4 linked regions of the Drosophila melanogaster genome follow. The protein of the gene in region 1 interacts with the protein of each later gene in a pairwise test. Each region holds a gene or a part of one and is shown in the gene's direction. Other genes may lie near its edges. The genes, in order: CG6845, CG31415, Tsf2 and Rnf146.

Region 1 (5,131 bases):
GGAAAACCATCGATGTCACAAAATCGGTGTTTTTCCAGCTTCACGCTCAACTGTTTAGGTAATTCTAATATACAGTTTAACGCTAATTATCATTATTTATCATTCTCATTATGCTTTTCGTTTACCTATTTGCCCTATAATGAAATGTATAAGACTTGAGCTACCCTAATAAAAGAACGAATTTTAAATTATATTTTTATTTTGTAAGGGCTACCACTAAAAACTCAACAGTCGTTCAAAGATTGTCAAGATTGGCGGTCGTTGTCTCTCCAACTGACTCCAATTGAATGTGTGTAAAACAAGTCTTATACAAAGATATATGTAATAGATGTAAGACAGACTGCAAAGTTTCTTGAAACAAATTAGTTAAATGTTGTAAATGTCTAAGTTGCTACCACTGCTACTACTAGAACGCGCCCATCCCCTCCCATATTTACCTTTAAGCTACAGTAATTAAGTGATGAGCAGAGGTGTAGAGTAAGGAGTCGAAGTTGAAAGAAAGCAAAAAATACATTTTGTACATACATATCGCCGTTGGTCGATATACATCTAAACATAATTTAATTTTTTGTTACTTTTAAGTAAATTATTTTTGGCGACCTAAGTAAATTAAAATTAACGCAATATGCAACAACACACATAAGTATACAATTAATTAAATTAAACGAAAATTACGATTTATTAAACGATGTCATAGAACGGAGAGCCACTGATAGTGAGAGAAATCTGTAAAATAAATATTTAAACAAATTATATATTATCTATATATGAGTACCAGAACAAGAATGTCAAAAAAGAGAAGCATGTAAAAATAAAAAATATATTACGAGTAAAACAAAAAAAGATAATCGAGCGAAAGGAACGTATCATTAACAGGAAAAATTAAAGAAAAATACAAAAACATTTCAAAGTAACAAAATTACGATAAAATTTGTTTTTATTTTGGTTCGTTTGGTTATTACAATTGGCAATATCTAACTGATTGGGTAATAAGTGCGCGTATCCCAGTATCCAACGTTGCAAAATGATACAACATTTCAATAGGTTTCAAAATCTACGTAAGATACACATAAAACGACCTGACTACTTTGTTCTACCCTACGCTTGTGCTGCAGTACCTAAAATCGAAGAAAGAGTACAGTGAACAGGGCTAAGATATAGAAAGACAGCTCTATTTCTGCAATCCAAAAAGGGCTTGCCCTAATTAAAATAATTGCAAATGCATTGCGCTTCAAATCCAGAAGCCTTTTTTACCTTTTATAGCCTACAGGAAAAAAGAAAAAAGAGGAGATAACGGAAAGACCCATAAAATCGAAAAGTGCATAGGTAAACCTGTAGGACGATTAGTGGAATACTAAAATCATCATATGTTTTAATCAATAAGTATTCCAATTTTACCAGGGGCAAGTGTATGCGAATTCTTTCAGTACGAGTATTTAATATATTTATTTTTATCATAATTGTATAAAAACCTGAAGCTCCAAAATAACTTGATCATTTTGAGAAAAATATTAATAAAAATTATTTTTTTGTTTATTTTCTTATTATTTAGTTACATATAATTTTATTTTATGTTTATGTTTTTATAATTTTTATTTTATTATTCATTATATTATAATAAATAGATTCGTTGAATAGTATTAATATTGGATTTGAATGCAGCGATGCGTTTTACGCATTTCAAATCCGAAACTCGCTTAGATCACACGACGTAACTTTATAAGATATATAAATCAAAAATAACTGTTATTTTGAAAGAGAAAAAATGATGTTGTTTGAAATAAAGGAACAAAAAAGCGAAAAACAGAAAAAGCAATCGGTTAAGTTTTAAATTCTTTTTGGGCGCCAAAAATGAATCGGATAAGCCAAAAACAACAAACAATAGGCTTTTCGATTTTAAGAAGGGTCACATTTCCGATAACAATGAAAACTCACATTTAAATTGGTCACACTAAGTGGGGCGCCAAGAGAAAATATCGATATCGATTCCGACTGTTGTGTTAGACTTTACAAATAAATTACAAAGAAATCGATCAAAATAAAATCATGGAAGAAAGTCAGCCAAGGTATGGCGCTATGTGGACATTCAAGCTGGTGGCACCATACGTAATTGGCGGCTACCTATGCGGCCTCGCGGTAACGCTCGCATGGAACTGGTGGCAGCTGGGCCACTTGGTTCTGGGTCTTAATCTCACCTTCGCGATTCCGGTGGCGCTTGTTCTGGCGGTCTTTTACAGCAGGCCCGTAAGGTAAGAACTACCTGAAAAAGCCCAAAACGATTTGTGTCTAACAGTGTTCCCTCACTGGCTGCCAGGTGCATTGTGACTTTGGCCCTTCCCTCGCTGTGCAGCTCTCGGGGAAGGGCGTTCCTCATCAGCCTTGCCTTTGTTATTGCCGCAGTTGGGCCTACGGCGAACATTCTAGCCAATTTGAAGGTGATGCTCCGCAGCCTCGCTTGCGGACAGGAGCTATTGCGTCAGGCGCTTGGCCAGATGTTGGACGTAATACTGGAGCCGGTGAATGCCATCCAGCTAGCGGTGGATCTCTTGATGCGGGAAGTGCGTCGGGTGCTCAAGCTGGCCATGGTAGTGCTGTTACGCATTCAGGACCAATTGATCGCAATTAGTGAGTATCTGTATTAAAAAGTGCTGCAGTTTTCTCTGCTGATTCATTTTTGTAGTTAAAACCCTGAAGAACTGCGCCGCTTGGCTGAAATCCATCGTAGACCTGTGCAACACAGAAATGGGCACTCCCTGGGCACGTTGCAAAAAGACGGCGCATCACGCAATGATCAGGTGCCAGTCAAAGATGGGCGTATTCAAGGCGCTATGCCATGCTGCAAAGCTGTTTCTGGCCCTCTGCTATCCAGCCAAGATCATCGATGTGTTTTGCAGCGGTTACTGGGATCTCAGCTGGGGTCTTCTTGATAAAATCGCAGAACGTGAGAGTGTAAACAACGATCGGTACTTTGGTTATTAGTTATACGATCTCGCAGGCTACCGTGAATTTGTGCGGCACATCGAGGAAATGTTTGATGCCAATATCACTTTTGAGCACGAATTTTTCTTCGATACAAACTCTTCAAAGAGCCTGACGGACGTGGGGGAGGAAATTTTACAGGATATTAACAAGCGTCTGTCGTCGTTTATCTTCTTGAGCAGCTTTGTGGACATTCTCTGCTGGGTCATGGTGGTTACTGTATTTTTTAAGTAGGCAAGAGCTTAATCATCTTATTAATTTAGTGTTGGTGATGCCTCAATTGTTCCCATCAGAGCCACCATCTTCTACCTTCGATATATGCACAGCCGGCAATTTCAGAATGTGTTCTTGACAAAGATACTAAGTGATATCGACCGGCGGCACGAAAAGCACGGTTACGATCCACTGCTACCCCTTCATCAGCTTGAAAGGGCAAAGTATATGAAGGTAAGGTTTCCCTACGTTTCCCTGACATAATATTACAATGATTTCATTGCAGCTTACTAGCTTGCGTTTGACTTTGTTTGAGTTCGTGTCCATTGTTGAGAACGCCTGTTTCATGGCCACAACCTGCTTGCAGTTGTTTGCGATTTGCTTTCTGGATTACGGGCTGTTCTGGCTGTTGGCAACTATATCCCTCCATGGCCACCAAGAGACTGGGCTGGAGGTGCCCGCTTACGTCGATCTAGAGATTAAGGGTGGGGGCTTTGTGGCGGATGTCATGCGGGGAATCGCTAATGCCTTTCGACCCTTGACGCAAAAAAGCATTTTAGACGTGAATCCTTGCCTCCCGCTGCCCGTGAAACCTGATTATGCGGAGTATCTAATTATATTATTACTCTGTCTGCTCGCTTGGCTGATCCTTTTGGCCGAGCCGTATATTTTGCGTACTCGCCATCTTATAATGGCCCACTTTTATCCAAAACGCGCCAAGGAAAGAGGCATGTTTCTGTACAACATGATTTCCGAAGATAGAAGTAAGAAAGTACATACCTTTTAAAGTTGTTCTAATGTATTCTCTCCAGCAAGCATTTTTAAGTTTATCCGCCGCAGAAAGCGTAATGAGTTTAACCACACACGGAATGTGAAGCACACCAGAAACTACACTTGGCTGAACAATAGATTCTCCTGTTTAATGTGCATGTGCTCCTGCTGCTCATCCTGTCAAAGCACTGAGAGGTGCACCATATGTGGCCGATCTCTGACTCTGTAAGTAACTCCAATCGTTAAACACACTCCGGGTTACAGTTGGATGTCCCCTTTTTAGTTCAAATCGTAACCCCTGCGACACTCCTGGATGCAAAGGGGTTTATTGCGGTAAATGCTTTGAAAAGTCACACAATAAGTGTTGTCTGTGCAATCGACCAGTGGATTATGGTGATTTTTCCGACGTTACTGAAGTAGAGTGAGTAAAAACCAGGGTTTAATCGACTATTCTTAATGGTTTTGTTTGTGCAGCGACTCTTCGGACTATTCTGAAAAAGAGTCTTTTAGCGAAAGGCAGTACAGGAAGACCTGTGGAGGACAACGCTAGCAACGAGGGAAAAACAGTTAAACATAGAGGTTGTGAGCGCATACACGTTATGCAGATAGCTCAGAAATATAATATTTCCACCTATTAAATACCTGATATTCCAACAATTTAATATATGGTTATAGGTGAGTTATTCAATAAAAATAACTCTTGTTATTGCTGATCTGATGTCAGTGCAATTCCTACCCTTCACCGCCCATGGAAGTCGCAATACGGGGACTGCGTTGTTTGGCGAGCTTCTGGGCTGAAATTATTATTTAATTAAATACTACAGCGACAAATGGCTACACAGCAATTCAGAAAATAACCTTGTTCTCACCCCTGTTTTCGATTTTTTCTTTTTTATCAAAGGCTTGTTTGCTTGATACCTATTTTTATTTCTTCTTGGGCTATGACTGTAACGTGCTGTTGAACATCTTCTCATTATTGTTGACTTTCTCTTTACGACTGTTTAATAAATTCTGCTCTTCCCCCACATGCGGCTTCCATTTACCAAGCTTATACGAGCATTTATTATATAACACCCGTCGACTTGCACCGATCCCTCTAGACCCTATATCGACCCCTATCCACTTGACCACCATCGTTGACAGTCAACCACACACACTCGAAAAACAA
Region 2 (3,285 bases), on another chromosome or scaffold:
GAGAACATGAACTTTGGGAAGATGGAAGACGATACTGCAATAGACGAAAGTTTCTATGAAGAGCCTGACGACGAAGAGCAGTTGGATAAGTGTAAGTAAACTTCAGTTTGCACTAGGGCTTGAAATATGATCGTGCGGATATCGCTGTGTAGGGCAATTGGGTTTCAATTTATAAAACTTATTTATGAAACTTTAATTTATAATACAAAAACCAGATCTTAAGCAAATAAATTACAATGCGGTGATTACATTTAAAAGTTATATCGTATTTATCAACTCAAATACCTTTGTTTCAATGTTCTACTTCCTGTTTTTATTGCAGCTTTATTATACGTTAAGTAAAGTACCCAAAAGTAAATGATGCTATTCTAGGAATAAAGGATTACAACTAATGCAATTTAACAAATTATTTGCAAAAGCAATTGTTTTACTTCACCGAATGAAGGGGTGTTTAAGAACATCAATTTGTGGACAAAACCAGTTATTCTTTATTGCCATTATTTATGTCCTACTAGAAATAAAACTTGGAAAAAAAAAATTGTTTACTGCAAGCAAGCTATATTTGTATCTTTCAAAAGAATTTGTAAAATTGTAAATAAAACTAAAAAATATTTTACACGCAAGATATTGGATCGCGAAATAGGAACATTAAATACCTAATTATGTATTTATAGATATAATCATCCTGAAGCTAAATCACATATTTTATTCTCGCTTCCAAATTGTTTGAGGAAGTAACTAATTTAAAATGAGGCGTTAAAACAATTATAATTCTTTAAGCGATAAGTTAAGAACTCTTATAAGATAATTATACCTTCTTCGCCGTCTATTAACATTATTAATTAAGACCAGTAGTCAGAAGCAATTAATGAAAAAATAATATGTTAACCTCTGATTCTTGTACTGTATTCGTGTAAAAAAAGAACATTGTTTTTCTGAAAATAAAATGAGAGCATTGACATCCGCCATATACAGTAGAAAAATACAAATTTGATGAATACGATTGTTATACACGTACATTTTATTGAAATTTAGGTGATTTGAAGTGGAACCGAATTTTTGTATTTATCCGTAGAATGTATGAATCATTGTTCTTTACGTCGATGTATTCTGAAGACTTTGGCATTGGAAGCTTTGGATGTAATTTGCTAGGGATGGGTTCCCAACACGACCGCTCACTGGTCAGATCCTTCGGCGATGCTTCGCAGTATCCAATCGGAGAAGCTACTCACCAGGGTGTAGACCCCCGGAATGGTGGTCACGCCGCACAGCGTCGGTCCAAAGGCCACGATGCCGATGATCGTATAACGTCCACTTGTTCCAAAGACGCCGGAGGTACCGTCGTCCATAAAGGGGCCGCCACTATCGCCTCGGCACACGTCATTCATGGGCATTCCCTGGGCGCACAGGTGGTTGGGAGTAATCACAATAGGCTGCTGGAAGTTCTCACTGAGACTGGCATAGGCGATGGCGCAACTGGTGGTGTTCACGATGGGCAAACGGATGAAGCGCACCCCAGCGGTGGAGTTTGAGGGGTCCATCGAACTATTATCTGGATAAAATTTGTAGTAGAGAATGTTATATACATTTAAAACCTAATATGCACTGAATTATATTTCGATCGCATTGATAGTAAGTTAAAAAATGTAACAGATCAGATATAAAGTTGTTTCGAGACTAACTTTCAGTACTCCCAATACTCCAACCAGCAGCCACTCCAATTTGTCCTATCAGCCTGTTTCCCAGTGTGATTGGCCCGTTGAAGGGTAAGCATATGGGTGTGAAAGTGCCTGCAAGGTTGGTGGTGGTTATTCAGCGTAATCATTGACCTAGGATAGGAGTATAATCTCTTACCATTAGTGCTGTTGATTCGTAGGAGGGCAATGTCATTTGCATACTTGGGCTGGTCGTAGTTCGGATGAACTATAACCTGCTCGATGGCAAACGGAGTCGCCCCATCCTGACTTCCCAATCGAACATGGGACCTACGAAAGAGCGTGGATTACAAAAGATTTAATTAGGCTTTAGACTTACAGTTCCAAATCGCTGACTAGGTTGACCACACAGTGGGCGGCAGTTACGATGTGGTTGCTGGATATCAGGGATCCGGAGCAGCGAAAGCTAATGCGGCTGCTGCCTGAAAATATTATCGTAAAACTTCTGTAAGAATAAAGATTTTTTCTTGTTTTCAGCTCAACATGTGCGCTTGCCCTTGTTCAGGAAGAAGTCTACCACCTCAGAGCAACAACCCTGATTCTTGCCCAGCTCCTGGCTCACGGGGCGGTCCAGGTGCTGGTGGAGGTGCCCCTGGTGCCGGTGGAGGCGGCCCAGGTGGTCGTGGAGGGGGCCCGCCCCAAAAGCGTGGAACGTGTGGCCCCAAACCTTGCGGCGGACAGCAGTGCAATAAATGCGGTAAGGGAGGCCCTGGAGGAAGAGGTGGCCCTGGAGGAAAAGGTGGTGGCCCTGGAGGAAGAAATGGCCCTGGAGGTAGTGGTGGTCCCGGAGGCAGAAATGCTCCCAATGGCGGTGGTGGAGGCGGAGGAGGACCTTTTGGGCTGAGTGCCCCACCAAACAATCGCGGACCCAAGGCTCTGGGACTGGCTGCTCTGCTCTTTGCCGTCGGCGTCTACCTTACATTAAAAATGGTTATTGTGGCCAGTGAAATTGGATGAGCGCAGACAGGACGGCATTGGGCCCGGCTCAGATCTCCAATGCGGAGTAAGTTTAAGAGCATTTAAGAGGCGTTGCGTTGGGTAAAATAAATTCGAAATTGCGTATTTAGCCTAACATAAGATGTACTTACTTCGGTTGCGATAAGCGATCCTTGTCAGCCAGGGAAACTGTCCGGCACTAGCCTGATCTCCTCCCAGCAGTCGGCTCTCTACATTTATCCCACATCCTTGGGTGTTCTCCTGTGCGAAAGGTGGCATCGATGCGGTTGTTGTGGATAAAGAAGCAGGAATTGTTTCAATTGGTGTAGCTAATGTTGTGGTAAACGGCGCCAGGGGCGGACCTTGATCTATGTTGGAGTCAATTGCCTCCTCTCCCTGCCGCTGGAAGCGTAGGTCCCCGGGAAATACTATGGGCTTATCCTTTGGCACGGGTCGCAGTAATGTATCCCGTTCTTCGTGCTCCACATGATACAGAAAGTGGTGTCCCAAGGCGAACCGTCGGTCGAAGAACTCTGGTTCCACGGGCTGGGGACAATTGCGTTGTTCCTCGAAGTTCCAGTAGTCATGCAGATTGGTCTCCGCTTCCAGATAATCCCCGTGTGTGTGGGAGTGC
Region 3 (5,783 bases), about 12 Mb from region 1:
GACAAGCAGTTGACCTACAACGATTTCTACGCCCTGGACTTGCACAAACTGGAATGGAAGGTGCTAATCCCCAATAGCTTGAAGGGCCACGAATGGGAGGATAGCGACAGCAGCAGCTCCGACGAGGAGTGCAGTGGCAGCGAGGAGGATATCTCCAGCAGCAGCTCGGACATGGACACGGATTAAGAATTTCCAGTGACTATATATTAAATTTGGTTAACAATTGTACACATGTATAAAAATGGAATATTTTCAACTGCTGAGTAAGCTCGAAATTCTCACAGCTCCAGAATCTCGGTGAGAATGCGTTGCGTATCCTTGGGAGTATATACCCTATGGCTGATGGTTCGAGGATCGCTATAGATCTCATAGTCATTGCCGCCCGGCTCCGTTTTATCGCCAAAGAAGTGGATTTCCTTGAACTTGTAGTGCGCTTCGATGTGTCGCAGGCAGTAGGTCTTGTCCCAACCATGCGGGAAGACATCGAAGCTGATCTGACCACCAATCGAGTACGTGAGATCCACATCGGCAAACTCCTGCTTCAGGTCCTTGATCATTTTCTCGCGCACCTTGTGCTCAATGTCGTACTCGGCGAACATGTTGCGCTCCTCCCGAGTGCACTGCCTGCCAATGGGACAAACGTTCATCATGCCATTCCGGAATTCGATAAAGGTGCCCCTCTTGATGGGCACATCCAGTTCGGACAGATAGCGCAGCACAAAGTTGATGAAACGCTTCACCGTCTCCTCGCCCAAATGCATGATGATATTCTGCTTTCCCACCTCCTTTCCGCCCTCAATCTGCACCAGCCCATTTTCCGGGAATATGAAGTCGAACTCGTTGAGTATCTTCCTGCCATTCAGCTGCTCGAACATCTTCTCCAGATCCGAGCCTCCGACGATTCCGATGGTCGCCCTCGGCTTAACCCGCGAGTAGAAGAACTCCTCGAACTCCGGAGTGACCACGGATCTGGGCATCGTTAACGTGCCGTCCACGTCGAAGAGCAGCAGGATTTCATCACGCTTCAATGCGGCGGTGGTCATTTTGCATTTAAATTTTGTGGTAAATCAGCAGGTGTTTAATATCCAGATATTTATGTCCACGTATGATTCGAGATAAAGAATTTTACAAGCGGCAACGCAGTGGTGAGAAATCCCCTAAAGCTTTCGATGCACCGGCAAGGGGAACCAGTTCCGGAATCCAAGTGCAATCAAAATTAATGTTTTGAATTGCCTTTTACGTTAGGTTTACTATTTAAAACAATGAGAGTATAAACATTCAAGCACAATCATTTGGATTTTCCTGCATGTATAGGTAACAGTTTAATTCATGGAGTTCATGCTGTCAGGGTACAAATAGTTTCTATTTTAATAGCAATTTGTACATTGCAGTTCTTTATCAGGCAAACTAGAATACACATATTTGGGTTCTTAAGTGTAGCATAACAGGGGGTTCTACTGCCTTTTAATGTGCTGCAGTTCATCTCTCTTGATTTTGCTGTATTCCTGCAGGGTTTTGTATTTCTCAGTGTTAACCATGGGGTCCACAATGACGGGGTATAGGGTGAGGCCCACGGCGCCCACGATGCAGGACACGAATCCAACGAATCTCCAACCACGCAGGACTGCCATTTAGCTAAAATATGGAATATTTTAGCTGACTTTTCGGTTTGTTATTATAAAACACAAAACACCTGGTTGACCGTAAGATGCTAGAAAACGCCAAGTGTGTGGTCACACTACTGTGGTCACCGGTGAAGTGCAGTAAATACTACAGAAGAGATAACCTGATAGAAAGTAAAATATAAATAAACAAGATTACTGTATATATAATAAAAATAGATATAGGTATAGATTAAACTAGAAATATCCTGAATGCTAAATATGTTTCTTGATTCATATCTCACTTAAGCATTCTCCACTGTGTGTACCTGTTGGTATTTTTTGAAATCATGTCTATTTCTGCCCGCTCTGGTTACACTGGCTTCCTTGAGCTGGGCTTGGGTGTGGTGTTTTGTTTGAGTAATTGTTTTTGCAGATAGATCTTTTTAGTTAATACACTTATTAATATTCTTATATCCCGAATATGGCTAGCAGCCTCGTTTTTGTGGCTCTAGTCGGCGCCTTATGTTTTACGCTCGCTAACGGTAAGTTGCGGCTGGAATACGAAAGTCGCCCATTTCTAGGGCGTTGGCATGAGTTAAAACCACGATTTTGCAGCACAACATCACTACGATGAGCACAAGACCACACGGATGGTGTGGTGCACCAAGAGCCAGGCGGAGCAGTACAAATGCCAGAACCTTACGGTGGCCATCGAGCGGGATCGGGCACTATTCGACGAGGTGTTCCTCAATCTCACCTGCTTCATGGCCTACAGTGCGGATGAGTGCATCCATCACATTGATCGCGAGAAGGCACACATCACCACGCTGGATGCGGGCGATGTCTTCACTGCTGGACGGTACAACTCCCTCATACCCATTATGCAGGAGAAACTGGAGGGCGGCTTTGCGGACTATCAATCCGTAGCCGTGATCAAGAAGGGATCTCTACCAGACTTGAACAATCTGCGCGACATGCGCAACAAGAGGGTGTGCTTCCCCTGGGTGGGCAGCTTGGCCGGTTGGATTGTGCCCATTCACACGGTGAGTAGAACTCCTCTTTTAAGTTGATTGTTTATTTGTTTCATTAGGCAACTAACAAACAAATTTTATCGTTTTGCAGCTCCAAAGGGAGGGCGGCATGGAAGTGGTGGACTGCAACAACCAGGTGAAGACGGCCGCCAGCTATTTCAATAATTCGTGTGCTGTGTACTCGCTTTCCGACAAACACAATCCAATTGGCGACAACTCCGATAAGTAATGACGCATAAAAGCCACAATTTTACACACATTAACTAACAACAAATCAATTTTCAAACCAGACTTTGTACGCTTTGCACTGGAAAGATACCCGGAGGACGCTGCTCATCTGCAGATCCCTACTTCGGCTACGAAGGCGCCTTCAAATGTCTGCTTGAAAAAGGAGATGTTGCCTTCTTGCGCCATTCGACTGTGAATGAAATGCTGCAAACCACCGAATTCAGTGAGTTACCAAAGGGAAACTTCTGAAAACCCATTACTGATCTAAGCTGCGTTTTTTAGAGAACATAGCACCCGACACTTTTGAGCTGCTGTGTCGTGATGGTCGTCGTGCCTCCATCAACGATTATCGCCAGTGTAATTGGGGCCAAGTGCCCGCCGATGCCATTGTCACATCTTCGGCTCGCAGCTTCAGCGATCGCAAGCAGTATCAGCAGTTTTTGAAGCGCATTGCCGAGCTGTACTCCGATGGCACACGTGATGATCAGAGCAGGCAGGGAGGACAAAGCTTCAACAGCCGCAACAACATCAACGATCAGAATGCCTATGGCCAGTTCGATAATAATGATCCGTACAGAACGCAGAATCAATACGATCAGTATCGCAGCGAACGATTGGACAGCAGTTTTGCAGAGGAAAGAAACCAGCAGGACGGCACGAACACTTCCATACTCTATGAGAAGTTCCGCATCTTCGAGTCGAAGCGCTATGGCAAGCCAAATTTGCTGTTCCAGGTAAGTGGATCATATTTTCCGTGATCCGAAATACATACTTAACATTCAATTGTTTTGTGACAGGATTCTAGTCGCGCTCTAACCGTGATTCCCGAAGATGATCAGTCATTTACCAAGTACCTAGGCCCTGCCATTAACTTTATCTACGGCATCCGTGAGTGTCCAGTTCCAGCGATGACGCTTTGCGTGACTTCGGAGAATGAGCTTGATAAATGCATCAAGATGAGGGTGAGTTGAAGAGTGAATATATGGATAGCAAGATGAGTTGATGATCCTTTACAAAAACACTTTTAGACTGCCTTGAAAGCTCACCTCCTGAAACCAGAACTCATCTGCAAGAAAATGCACTCCCACATCAACTGCATGCAGTTCATCGAAGCGGGCAAAGCAGACATCTCCGTTTTCGATGCCGGCGATGTCTACACTGGTGGCCTCAACTACGACCTGGTGCCCTTCATGTCGGAGGTGTACAATCTGGGCGAGCCCGAGTATTATGTGGTTGCCGTGGCCAAGGAGGATGATCCCGATACGGAGCTAACTTACCTGAAGGGTAAGAATACCTGCCATACGGGCATTAACACCGCCGCTGGCTGGACATATCCGATGGCGCTTTTCATCTCGAACGGCTGGATTCGTCCCTACGGATGCGATTCGGTTCGAGCTGCCGCGGAGTACTTCACCAAGTCGTGCGTGCCGGGTGCCATTAGCAATGAGTACAACACCGGTGTGCCCTACGACAGCATGTGCGATCTGTGTCATGGAACTAGCTATCGCTATTGTCGTCGCGATGCCTCCGAGGAATACTACGGGCACACGGGTGCATTCCGTTGCCTCGTCGAGGGCGGCGGTCACGTGGCCTTCATGAAGCACACCACGGTGATGGAAAGCACGGGCGGCAAACGCAAGGAATGGTGGGCCAGGAATGCCCTAAACGATGACTTTGAGCTGCTCTGCACGGATGGTACTCGTGCCGAGATCCAGGACTACAAGCGCTGCAATCTGGGCAAGGTTAAGGCCAATGCTGTGGTCACCCGCGGCGGAGTCAACTACAACGAGACCCAGATGAATGCCTACATCAATCTGCTGACCTATGCCCAACAACTGTACGGTCGCAAGGAAGTGGACGCCTTCAGTTTCAGCATGTTCTCCTCGCCGATCGGGCACTATGATCTGATCTTCCAGGACGCCACGCGGCAGCTGCAAGTAATTCCGCCCAATAAGCGCAGGTATGATGCCTATTTGGGCAGCGATTTTATGCGAGCACGCCGCATCACCGACTGCTATGCTGGTGCCTCCCAGTTGGCATTATCCGTGGGCCTGCTCCTCGTGGGTTCGCTGGTTGCAATGCTCTAAGCCACTAGACTCACTTAGATTTCAGAATTCTACAAGCATCTCTAGCACAAAGAGAAAACATATCAACATTTTTACATTCCAAATATGATTAAGTTAAATGTGAAATCCCTTCCGTCCGAAAATGAAACTCTAACTAGCCGAAAAATATCTGTTGAAGGCTATAGTTTATAATTTATAAAGTCCTGTGCCTTATTATAGTATTTGTTTGTGTACATACCAACTAAGACCGTCCAAAAAATGTACCTAGGAGATGTAAGCCGAATCTTTTACAACCGCTTATGTAAGTATACAAATAAAATAACTAGATAAAGGAGTTATTTTGCTTATTTTGAATTAGTATCATTTGAAGAATCCTAATATCTTGACCGCAATTGTAGCCGCCAAATTCAAATTGAATATGTGCGCTAACATCGCTTTGAAACATAGATGTTATTGAAATTTACGCTGGTAAATATTGCATTTAACCTTAAAACACTCTGTATTGTTTATAAAGCCAGTAAAATGTTTGAAATTAAAGAAAATAGCGTAGTTACAAGTTTCAGCGCAGTGTGACCGCTTGGCCGCATAAGCAAGGGTGGAACAGTGCCGCGAAACGACGGTCACACCCGCCTGCACACATCTGTGGAATTGTTAAATTTCGAAAGTCCGGAAAAACCGGACGGAACCTTTCACCTCGCTCTGGACCAGTGGCACCGCCCTCGAGTATCGCAAGATGTCTATTAACCTGCGCACCGTCTACGCCTTCGCCCGCGAGATGTACCCAAAGACCTCCAAGGAGACCATCCAATATGGAACAGCTGGCTTTCGCGGCAAGTGAGTAGTTGCCTCCATTA
Region 4 (7,944 bases), about 19 Mb from region 1:
TCGTTTATTAAGATGGGATTAGGACCCAAAAAATGGGTATAATAAAATGTTTAAGGGGGAGCAAGGAACAAGCCAGCAAATGATAAAATAAAGAGCAATAGGCCAGATGCAAAAGTAGCTTATTACAAAACGAGGGTGCAAACAGCGGCAGCCAGGAAATTTCCTTCTATTCGCCCTTTTTTATGGTAACAAAAAAAAAAACAGGCTGACGAAATCTGCCATGCTGGGGAGGGGGGGCAATATTTTTATGCTTATGACGACCCTCTTTTGTGTTAATAATCTTGAGGCGTCCACCGTTGTAATTACATTAAGATTTGAGGTTTTCTTCTCCTTTATTTCTGCGGGTTACTTTTTATGGTTATTTACATTTTTGGGACCAACAGAGCGATGAAACAATGAGCCACGGCAATCATCATTTAAATTTCTTCTTCTGTTTCTCGATCGTTTGCTGGCAAATAAAAATTCAATTGTGCACAACATAGAACAATTATGACAAAAAACCAAGTGCCGAAACGAGCACACAGGATAAAGGGTTGAGTGGCGAGAGTTCAAGGACTCGCCGTGCATATTAAGTAGTTGCTGTGTGTGCACTTCGAATGATATAGTGATGGGTATGCTGGATTCGAGTCGATGTGCGTAAATTTAATTAAAATAAATATATATATATATATATATATATTCCTATTACCATAATTAAAGTAAAACTGCATGTTAATCTGATGCTAATAGTTTAAATAATATAATAGAATACTTTTGTGTTACAACTAGCAACTAATTAATGTATTAGTGTCAAAGGAATATGGTTTAAATATTAAGTAATTTATATTGGCTTTAATACTCGCATATGAGTTAATACCAGGTAAACTTGTGGTCTAAATTCTGGATACTATAGATACTTTTTTCGCTGTCTTTCTGTAAATACACATTCCCCAAGGCAAATCACGTCGAATGAGTGGCATCCCAGGATGGGCAACACATTTTTAAAACGCCCAAAGGGACACGTGCATGAAACAGCCCGGCAGGACATCACATTCGCAGTCGCAGAGTCGCAGGATCGAAGCTGGCAGAACGAGAGTAATTTACAAAACTCGTCGCCAGTTGACTTCAACGCGTTTGGCCGTCGCGCAATTAGGCAATTGGCCGCGAGTGTGCGGGTGTGGGTGTAATTGGCAAAAAATGACATGCAATTGCGTGGTGGGGCGGGGCGAGTGCAGAAATAAACCAAAAATTGATTTTTATGTAATGAGTGCGAAGGTCCTGTGCAGGACAACTGCAACTGCCTGTTGTTGTGTGTCACTTTTTTTGGCCTGTCGCACGCCGGCTGCATATTAAAAAGCGCGTGATGCCTTCGCTGGTCAAAAACGCTGGCCGAAGGCCTGTCAATTTTTATGAAGTTAAATTCTCAATGAAGGTGGGATATACATACATACATACATAAATATTATGGCAGTTCGCTGCGAGAGGTGTTTCGTGTAATGAAGCGCATAATTTTAATTGGTTTTTGTGAATTTAATATAGCATTATTAAAGCGGCGGCTGCAGGTAATAAAGCAGCGCCAATTAATTTAGAAATATTTTCGACCGAATATAAGTTAGTTCGATTTAAGGCATTCTCTAGTACTTTGTTAAATGTATAAAATAATAAACTGCTTAATAAATTTTAAAAAATTTACTTTTTATAAATACTTTTATCTTAGGATAATCTTTATTAAATGTTGGTCTTTTATTGACCGTTAAAAATGGAATAAATAAGTTTATTATCCTATAACCAAAAGCTTTTTTTTTAAATAATTACAAGTTTTCAATTTTGCAACTATAAATGACTCTACTTTTCAAAGACTGAAAATAATATTTAAATAAATTCATTGGCGCCATTTCAGAACTTAGCAGCACTGAAAATACAGTCAACGGTCATACCGAAACGAATGTAGTATTTTTGTCGATGACATTAGCAATTCAAAGTCAGCCCGAGCTGGTCATACTCAGGCAGCAACAATTTTTTGTTTCAAGTTTGTTTGTGAAAATTTAAAACTCAACGTCGACGACAACAGCTCGATTTCCCCGCTGTTGACGAAATCGATCCAATCCGACCATGTCGCAACAGCGCTCCACAGAGCAGATTGCAGCTAGCAACAACAACACCAGCGATGTAATAGCGCTGGACGACGACGAGGATACGGATGTGCAATTCGTTGCAGCTCTGCGTCCCACCGCACCAGTCATCGATCTTTGCGTCTCGCCCTCCACTTCTGCTGCTGCTGCTGCGGCGGCGGCAGCTGCAGCCCACTCAGGAGGCGGAAGTGGCGAGGATCCGGCGGTTGGATCCGCATCTGGAGCTGCTGCTTCGGATACCGATTCACTTGCTTCTTCGCCTGACGAAGGAGCGTTAGCCACCGGTGTGGATGCAGGTAAGCAAAGTTGCCTTTCGCCACAAGAAGTTCCCTTTGCTTTTATAAAGCTTTAGGATACACTTGCACTATTCCTAGAGCGCATACACACGCATATGTACATATACATATGTACGAAATCAAATTTGAAGGACTTCCTAAAAGCATTTCAAAGCAATACTAGAAGGAATTATGAATTATGACAGATTATTTTGCACTCACTAGCACAATAATATTCTATAATATTATTGAGAGCACAAGAGTTATACTTTTGCATCGTTATTATTCATATATCCCTTAATCCTTATTCTATTTGATTTAACTTATTTCAATTAACTCAATTTCTAGCGGCAGCCGTTTCTGGCGAAGATTCCCCCTCTGCAGCGGCCGCTGCCTTGGAGTGTCCCATCTGTTTGCAAACCTGCATCCACCCAGCTCGTCTCCCCTGTGGCCACATCTTCTGCTTTTTGTGCGTGAAGGTAGGTAGCCCAGAAAGCCGAAAGCGGAAGCCTTTCGTGGCCACTTAGTCATTCAATTCACATTCAAACTCGCTTTTCTTGAATATTATTCCCGATCAGCAAAATCACCCACAGCACGTAGCCAAGTTCAAGGCTGTTCTTAACCCTTTGGTGCGACAGCTGGTTTCACTGATTGATTAGCATGCCAACCGAACACGGCTGACCAGAAATTATGGCATTAGATTGGCTTCCGGCTGACGACTTGTCAATTGGTCTCAATCTCCTGCCAATTTCAACCAGTTTTAGCCTAAGACTACCACTCCAATTAGCACTCGAGTGCATTTTCCTGTTCAGAAACATGTTTGGTCGTGGGAAAGTGTTGGTTTAGAGAGGCGATTCCAACTTCCTTAGTTTTGTAAACTTCATCTATGCTTATAACGTTTAACACAAGTTGTTATTTTTTGGTTGAGGTAAAAGACCTCATATTTTATTCCAGTGTACTTAATGTGGGGTAAAGGTCTTAGGTTGGTATGATCGTATTTTTGCGTTTTTACGCTAATGATAAGATGCTTTTCTGAAATGTATTATTTTCGCTTCTTGTTAAGTTTTATGTGTTAGGAAATTACAATTGCTTTTCAACACATAGCGATGTCGAATCAAATTTTAATTTCTCATTGGTCATTTTACGCTTTCCAGGGTGTTGCTTATAAGAACCGCCGTTGTGCTATGTGCCGTCGCGAGATTCCCGCCGAGTTCCTGGACCATCCCCAGCTGGTGAATGGCATTGAGGACATCTGCACCACTCGCGCGACCGAGGACGGCTTCCAGTGGTATTACGAGGGAAGAAACGGTGAGTATAATTAAGCTTTTGGTGCCGGCCGTCCCTCATTCCCATAAACCCCAAATCCTTCACGCACTAAACCCATCTAGGGGGCTGGTGGGCGTACGATTCTCGGACCAATGCAGACATCGAGATCGCCTATGCTGGCTTTGAGATATTCAAGGCAGATAACCCTGAGCTTGCTCCTTTATTTGATCGGGACTGTCCAAACCCTATCAATCACTATTGTCTGTGTGACGAAAATATTATTTTCTACAATGCCGATTCAGAAATTGTTATATACCCAACCATTATTCGTTCATCTGGTCAGGGCGCTCCAGCCTCTTCCGAAAACAATGGTCGGGACTCGCCAGCCCTATCATTGGACGATATTATGAGCTTAGACCCCGATGAGCTGAACATCATTAGGCCGCATCCATGCACACTGCCCATTCAGATCTGCGGGCGTATGTACATCATCGACTTTTTGCAGAATTTACAGTATCTCCGCTTGACTCCAGAAAAGAGCCGCAATATAATGCGCTGCAAGAGCACGGATGACGTTTCTGGCGGAATGAGAGGAGTTGCTGGACTGAGCCAGAACTAAAAATACAAGAACACTTTAATAATTAATGACAACACCTAACTCCTTACCCATTCCGCACATCCATTTCCGTAATAACAAACTGTAATTAAATGACCAAATCGTCGAAAAGAATTGGACCGATTCCATTCCATTCCGAATTTTTCTTTCTTGTCAAAATGTTTAACTATAGGTTGGTGGCAGTACGATGACCGCACTAGTCAGGACATCGAAGATGCCTTTAAGAAGGGCGACAAATCCTGTACAATTTTGGTAGCCGGCTACGTCTACATTGTGGACTTGGAGCAGCTAGTCCAGCAGCGCCAGAATGAGCCCACTCGCTGCCGGAGGGTTAAGCGAGACCTAGCCACCATACCCAAAAAGGGGGTGGCCGGTCTGCGGATCGAAGGCAACCAGGTGACCAGCGACACCGTCTTCAGCAGGCCAACCAACACAGCCAATCCAACCACCGTGGCAGCAGCTGCCTCCAGTTTCATATCCACCATAGCAGCCACAGATGCGGCCATTAGAATCGCTAGCGACATAATAGGCTCAACGCTGGCTCATGCAGATGAACTAACTCGGGGACTGACGGCTAGCAATCTCAACGATGATCTCAGCAGCAGCGGTGAGCAATCCAACTCCACAAATTCAAACGATGCAGGGCGCTCGCCTGCCTCCTCGCCTGCCTCAAGTTCCATGCAGGATCTGATCACGCGTGACCTGAGGAACACCCAACAGGTGATTGCCCACAACCAGCACACCATTGATCTCTTCGAGCAGGCCTTGAACGACTTCCAGGCGCTGGCCATGCGCAACTATGTTGACTCCAGCGATGAGGAGAACAACGACCAGGATCAGGAGCATGAGCTGCGGGAACGGGAGCAGCTGGAGGCGGGCGAGCAGCCACAGTCCAACGATAATCCCCAGAGATTTTAGAAATAATCTACTTACCAGAAAGCTTATATTGTTGCTCGCCTAATCGATACATTTAAAGAAAATATCAAATGTTCCTTTAAGCAGATTTCGATATACGGAAGGGGAATGTTAACTAGAGAAATGCAGCGCGTACCTGAGAATATATCAACTAACATATATAACCATAGGCTCAGAGCGTTGGGCGTCGAACAGGAAAAATAGAAAAAATAGAAAAGAATGTCTACAGGGTAAACAAACATATTCCTTAAAACATAAAATCAGATATTGAAACATAGACGTTACAGCAGAAACATAAATAATCTATTTAATACGATATTCAATTTTCCCCAAACAAACTTAACCCAATTAAAGCAAAAAAATGGTATTCTTAGTAGGAAATGGTAAGGACAGCAGTGGCATTGGTTGAATCCATTTGTGTGGCCTGTAATGCTCTAAGAAATCTCTGTAAGACCTCCGAATAGGATTTCTCTGAATTAACCTGTACATAATAATTACAAAATCAAGAGTTCTACAAGAATTCGGAAAGTTAACCCTCCCTATGGTCTCATTTGCAAGCTGGCAAAAGTAAATATAAGCTCCTCCACCAAGAAAGAGTAGTGTGAAAAAGACAATATTTATGAATTGGGATTAACTAGACATGTGAGTTCAATTAGCAGGAAGTTCCCACTCACATAATTGATATTCAGTGCGTTTCTTAAATCGGAATCGTTTAATTTGACTTACTTTCCACAGTATCTATGTTCTGACACAGTTTTTAGATTTAAATTAATGCAAGCTGTTTTCGAAGCGCACTGTCATCAGGGGAATCAGATGCAGTATTAATTATTAAGTCGCCGTGAAGTGCGTTAAACAAAAACATTTCTGTGACAGTTGAATATATTGATATTTTGTATACTCTAAGTTGCTTTAAATAATAGATTTAAAGGAAAATTGTTAGACAGACCTAATGTTGTATACTACAACTATGTGCTACGGATACGATATACGCCCGATTTAATAATCTCAATTTTGTGACTACTATTTATAGATTCGTTTTCGATATGTACTCCGCCATTACTTCTAACAGCGAAGTGCGTATTCGTTGCTTCCCTAATATCTACGGTATACCTAAAGCTCTACTGAACCCGACTCCCGACTTCGAAAAGCCCCTCCTGGTAATATCAACAGCAGTTTTAAAATTAAACCTCAAATTGATTTCACCGCAACTCATTGTCAACCTCATAATACTTTCTGGCATTTTCCATTGCGCATTTTACTGGATTTTGATAACATTTGCTATTCCATAACTGACAATGAATGAAATGGTCTTAATTACAATCATTTGCATTGCATATCTGGAATACAGAGCCTTTTCGATATGGTTTTCCTATCCTATGGTGGCAGTTTCTAAACAATTCGATTCGTACTTAATAATCATTTAGCTTTTCAACAATTAAATCAAAACCAAATGTGCCAAGAAACATTTATTGAACAGCACTCGCTCCGGTATTTTTGACAGCACTGATAAGGCAACTCTAATAAACAGCACGTAGCATTTTCTGTCGTCTAATATAATTACATTTAATTAATGAATTAAGCATTTACAACTTAGTTTATACAAGATGTTAAGTAATAGATATTGCTGAATCCGATAAATGTCGATTAGAGATCTGGCTTCTGTGCAAGATCACATTTGTAAGAATAGCTCCTAGGACATGTATTTAAGTTGGGCAATAAAAAAAACCACAAAACCTTTGTGAAATATTATTTTAATGCTCGCTTGTCTGCGAATGGAAGTAATAAATATTTACATTTTTTATTTCAAGAAACTCAGTTCTTTATTAAATTTCTAGATCAGAACTGCGTACATTGAGGAACATATTTAAAAGGTTTTCCATGATGGCAGCTTTAAAAAGAAAGTGTGTTATAACCAATTGACCATATTGGATTCCTTTTTTAAAAAAGGCAAAGTGAAAAAAATAACTTTCCTAACAAATAGATATTAAACAAAATGATTCATTATTTTGAAGCACAAAAGAAAGAGATATTCCAATCTTCCATTGATACACTATTATTGTTCTCACAACAATACCAACAAGATCCTTATCTCAATGATCCTCAACTACCCTTAACTTAGACTTGTTAAAGGCAATTCTTGTGTTGAGATCATATACCCCCTCCCCCTCGCAAGTGGCACTGATTGACGGGCATGGAACCTGCACCCTGGACATGGAACTGGAACCCTGGGAGATACTGGCCCTCGGTGTCCCTCAAATGCGTGAAACCCTATGACTCATGCGCAATGGACCAAAAGAAAACGCCTGAGCCGCACGCAGGCAGCATAACAATTTATTGGTCAGAACATACAAGAAAAGGTATTTGTTGATAACGTGGAAGGGGGGAGGTGGCTCTAAGAAGGGAAAAGTGGATTGTGTGATTGGTAAGGATACACCGCGACAAAAAGATCTTATATACTTATGGCGTTATGCTGTTATCATGGGTGATAAAGGTAATATTTTTATACATATGTACGTAACATAATAATAAGTTGTTAATTTCGAAATATTTCGTGTATAGAATAATGCTTTTCCAATTCATAGTAGAGACATTTATTATGAATATTATATGCTATGGAAATTCTAAGTATGTAAATATACAATTGATCGCTGAATATATGCTATGGAAATTCTAACTATGTAAATATACAATTGATCGCTGAATTCGCTAAGTATTTTCCACGATGTAGAAAAGCCCCCACCCACTAACATGTTCTCCAAAG

The links.
Region 2: the proteins of CG6845 (region 1) and CG31415 interact in a two-hybrid assay, tested with the Drosophila melanogaster proteins (one large-scale study listed by BioGRID).
Region 3: the proteins of CG6845 (region 1) and Tsf2 interact in a two-hybrid assay, tested with the Drosophila melanogaster proteins (one large-scale study listed by BioGRID).
Region 4: the proteins of CG6845 (region 1) and Rnf146 interact in a two-hybrid assay, tested with the Drosophila melanogaster proteins (one large-scale study listed by BioGRID).

The regions. Positions count from the first base shown.
Region 1 is NT_037436.4:144,458-149,588, forward strand, and holds CG6845 (uncharacterized protein), read left to right. Parts: upstream 1-1,975; 5' UTR 1,976-2,046; coding exon 2,047-2,249; intron 2,250-2,314; coding exon 2,315-2,625; exon of another isoform or gene 2,626-2,680; coding exon 2,681-2,941; intron 2,942-2,995; coding exon 2,996-3,209; exon of another isoform or gene 3,210-3,272; coding exon 3,273-3,426; intron 3,427-3,478; coding exon 3,479-3,956; intron 3,957-4,004; coding exon 4,005-4,188; intron 4,189-4,246; coding exon 4,247-4,384; intron 4,385-4,437; coding exon 4,438-4,513; 3' UTR 4,514-4,599; downstream 4,600-5,131.
Region 2 is NT_033777.3:9,741,878-9,745,162, forward strand, and holds CG31415 (uncharacterized protein), read left to right. Parts: upstream 1-1,639; 5' UTR 1,640-1,682; coding exon of another isoform or gene 1,683-1,790; intron 1,791-1,854; coding exon of another isoform or gene 1,855-1,985; intron 1,986-2,034; coding exon of another isoform or gene 2,035-2,137; intron 2,138-2,192; 5' UTR 2,193-2,198; coding exon 2,199-2,672; 3' UTR 2,673-2,785; downstream 2,786-3,285. Other genes in the region: Pnn (pinin), read left to right, coding at 1-91, 323-342; CG34409 (uncharacterized protein), read right to left, coding at 1,176-1,552, 1,683-1,790, 1,855-1,985, 2,035-2,137, 2,804-3,285.
Region 3 is NT_037436.4:12,529,915-12,535,697, reverse strand, and holds Tsf2 (transferrin 2), read left to right. Parts: upstream 1-1,973; 5' UTR 1,974-2,085; coding exon 2,086-2,146; intron 2,147-2,219; coding exon 2,220-2,647; intron 2,648-2,726; coding exon 2,727-2,860; intron 2,861-2,925; coding exon 2,926-3,086; intron 3,087-3,145; coding exon 3,146-3,597; intron 3,598-3,660; coding exon 3,661-3,825; intron 3,826-3,891; coding exon 3,892-4,950; 3' UTR 4,951-5,262; downstream 5,263-5,783. Other genes in the region: CG4069 (uncharacterized protein), read left to right, coding at 1-186; Pmm2 (phosphomannomutase type 2), read right to left, coding at 279-1,043; CG34242 (uncharacterized protein), read right to left, coding at 1,455-1,631; nst (nesthocker), read left to right, coding at 5,663-5,763. UniProt on the Drosophila melanogaster protein: Iron-binding protein and component of septate junctions that form the paracellular permeability barrier in epithelial tissues.
Region 4 is NT_037436.4:19,636,815-19,644,758, reverse strand, and holds Rnf146 (ring finger protein 146), read left to right. Parts: upstream 1-1,942; 5' UTR 1,943-2,091; coding exon 2,092-2,407; intron 2,408-2,734; coding exon 2,735-2,865; intron 2,866-3,540; coding exon 3,541-3,694; intron 3,695-3,774; coding exon of another isoform or gene 3,775-4,271; exon of another isoform or gene 4,272-4,400; intron 4,401-4,440; coding exon 4,441-5,186; 3' UTR 5,187-6,213; coding exon of another isoform or gene 6,214-6,308; 3' UTR 6,309-7,552; downstream 7,553-7,944.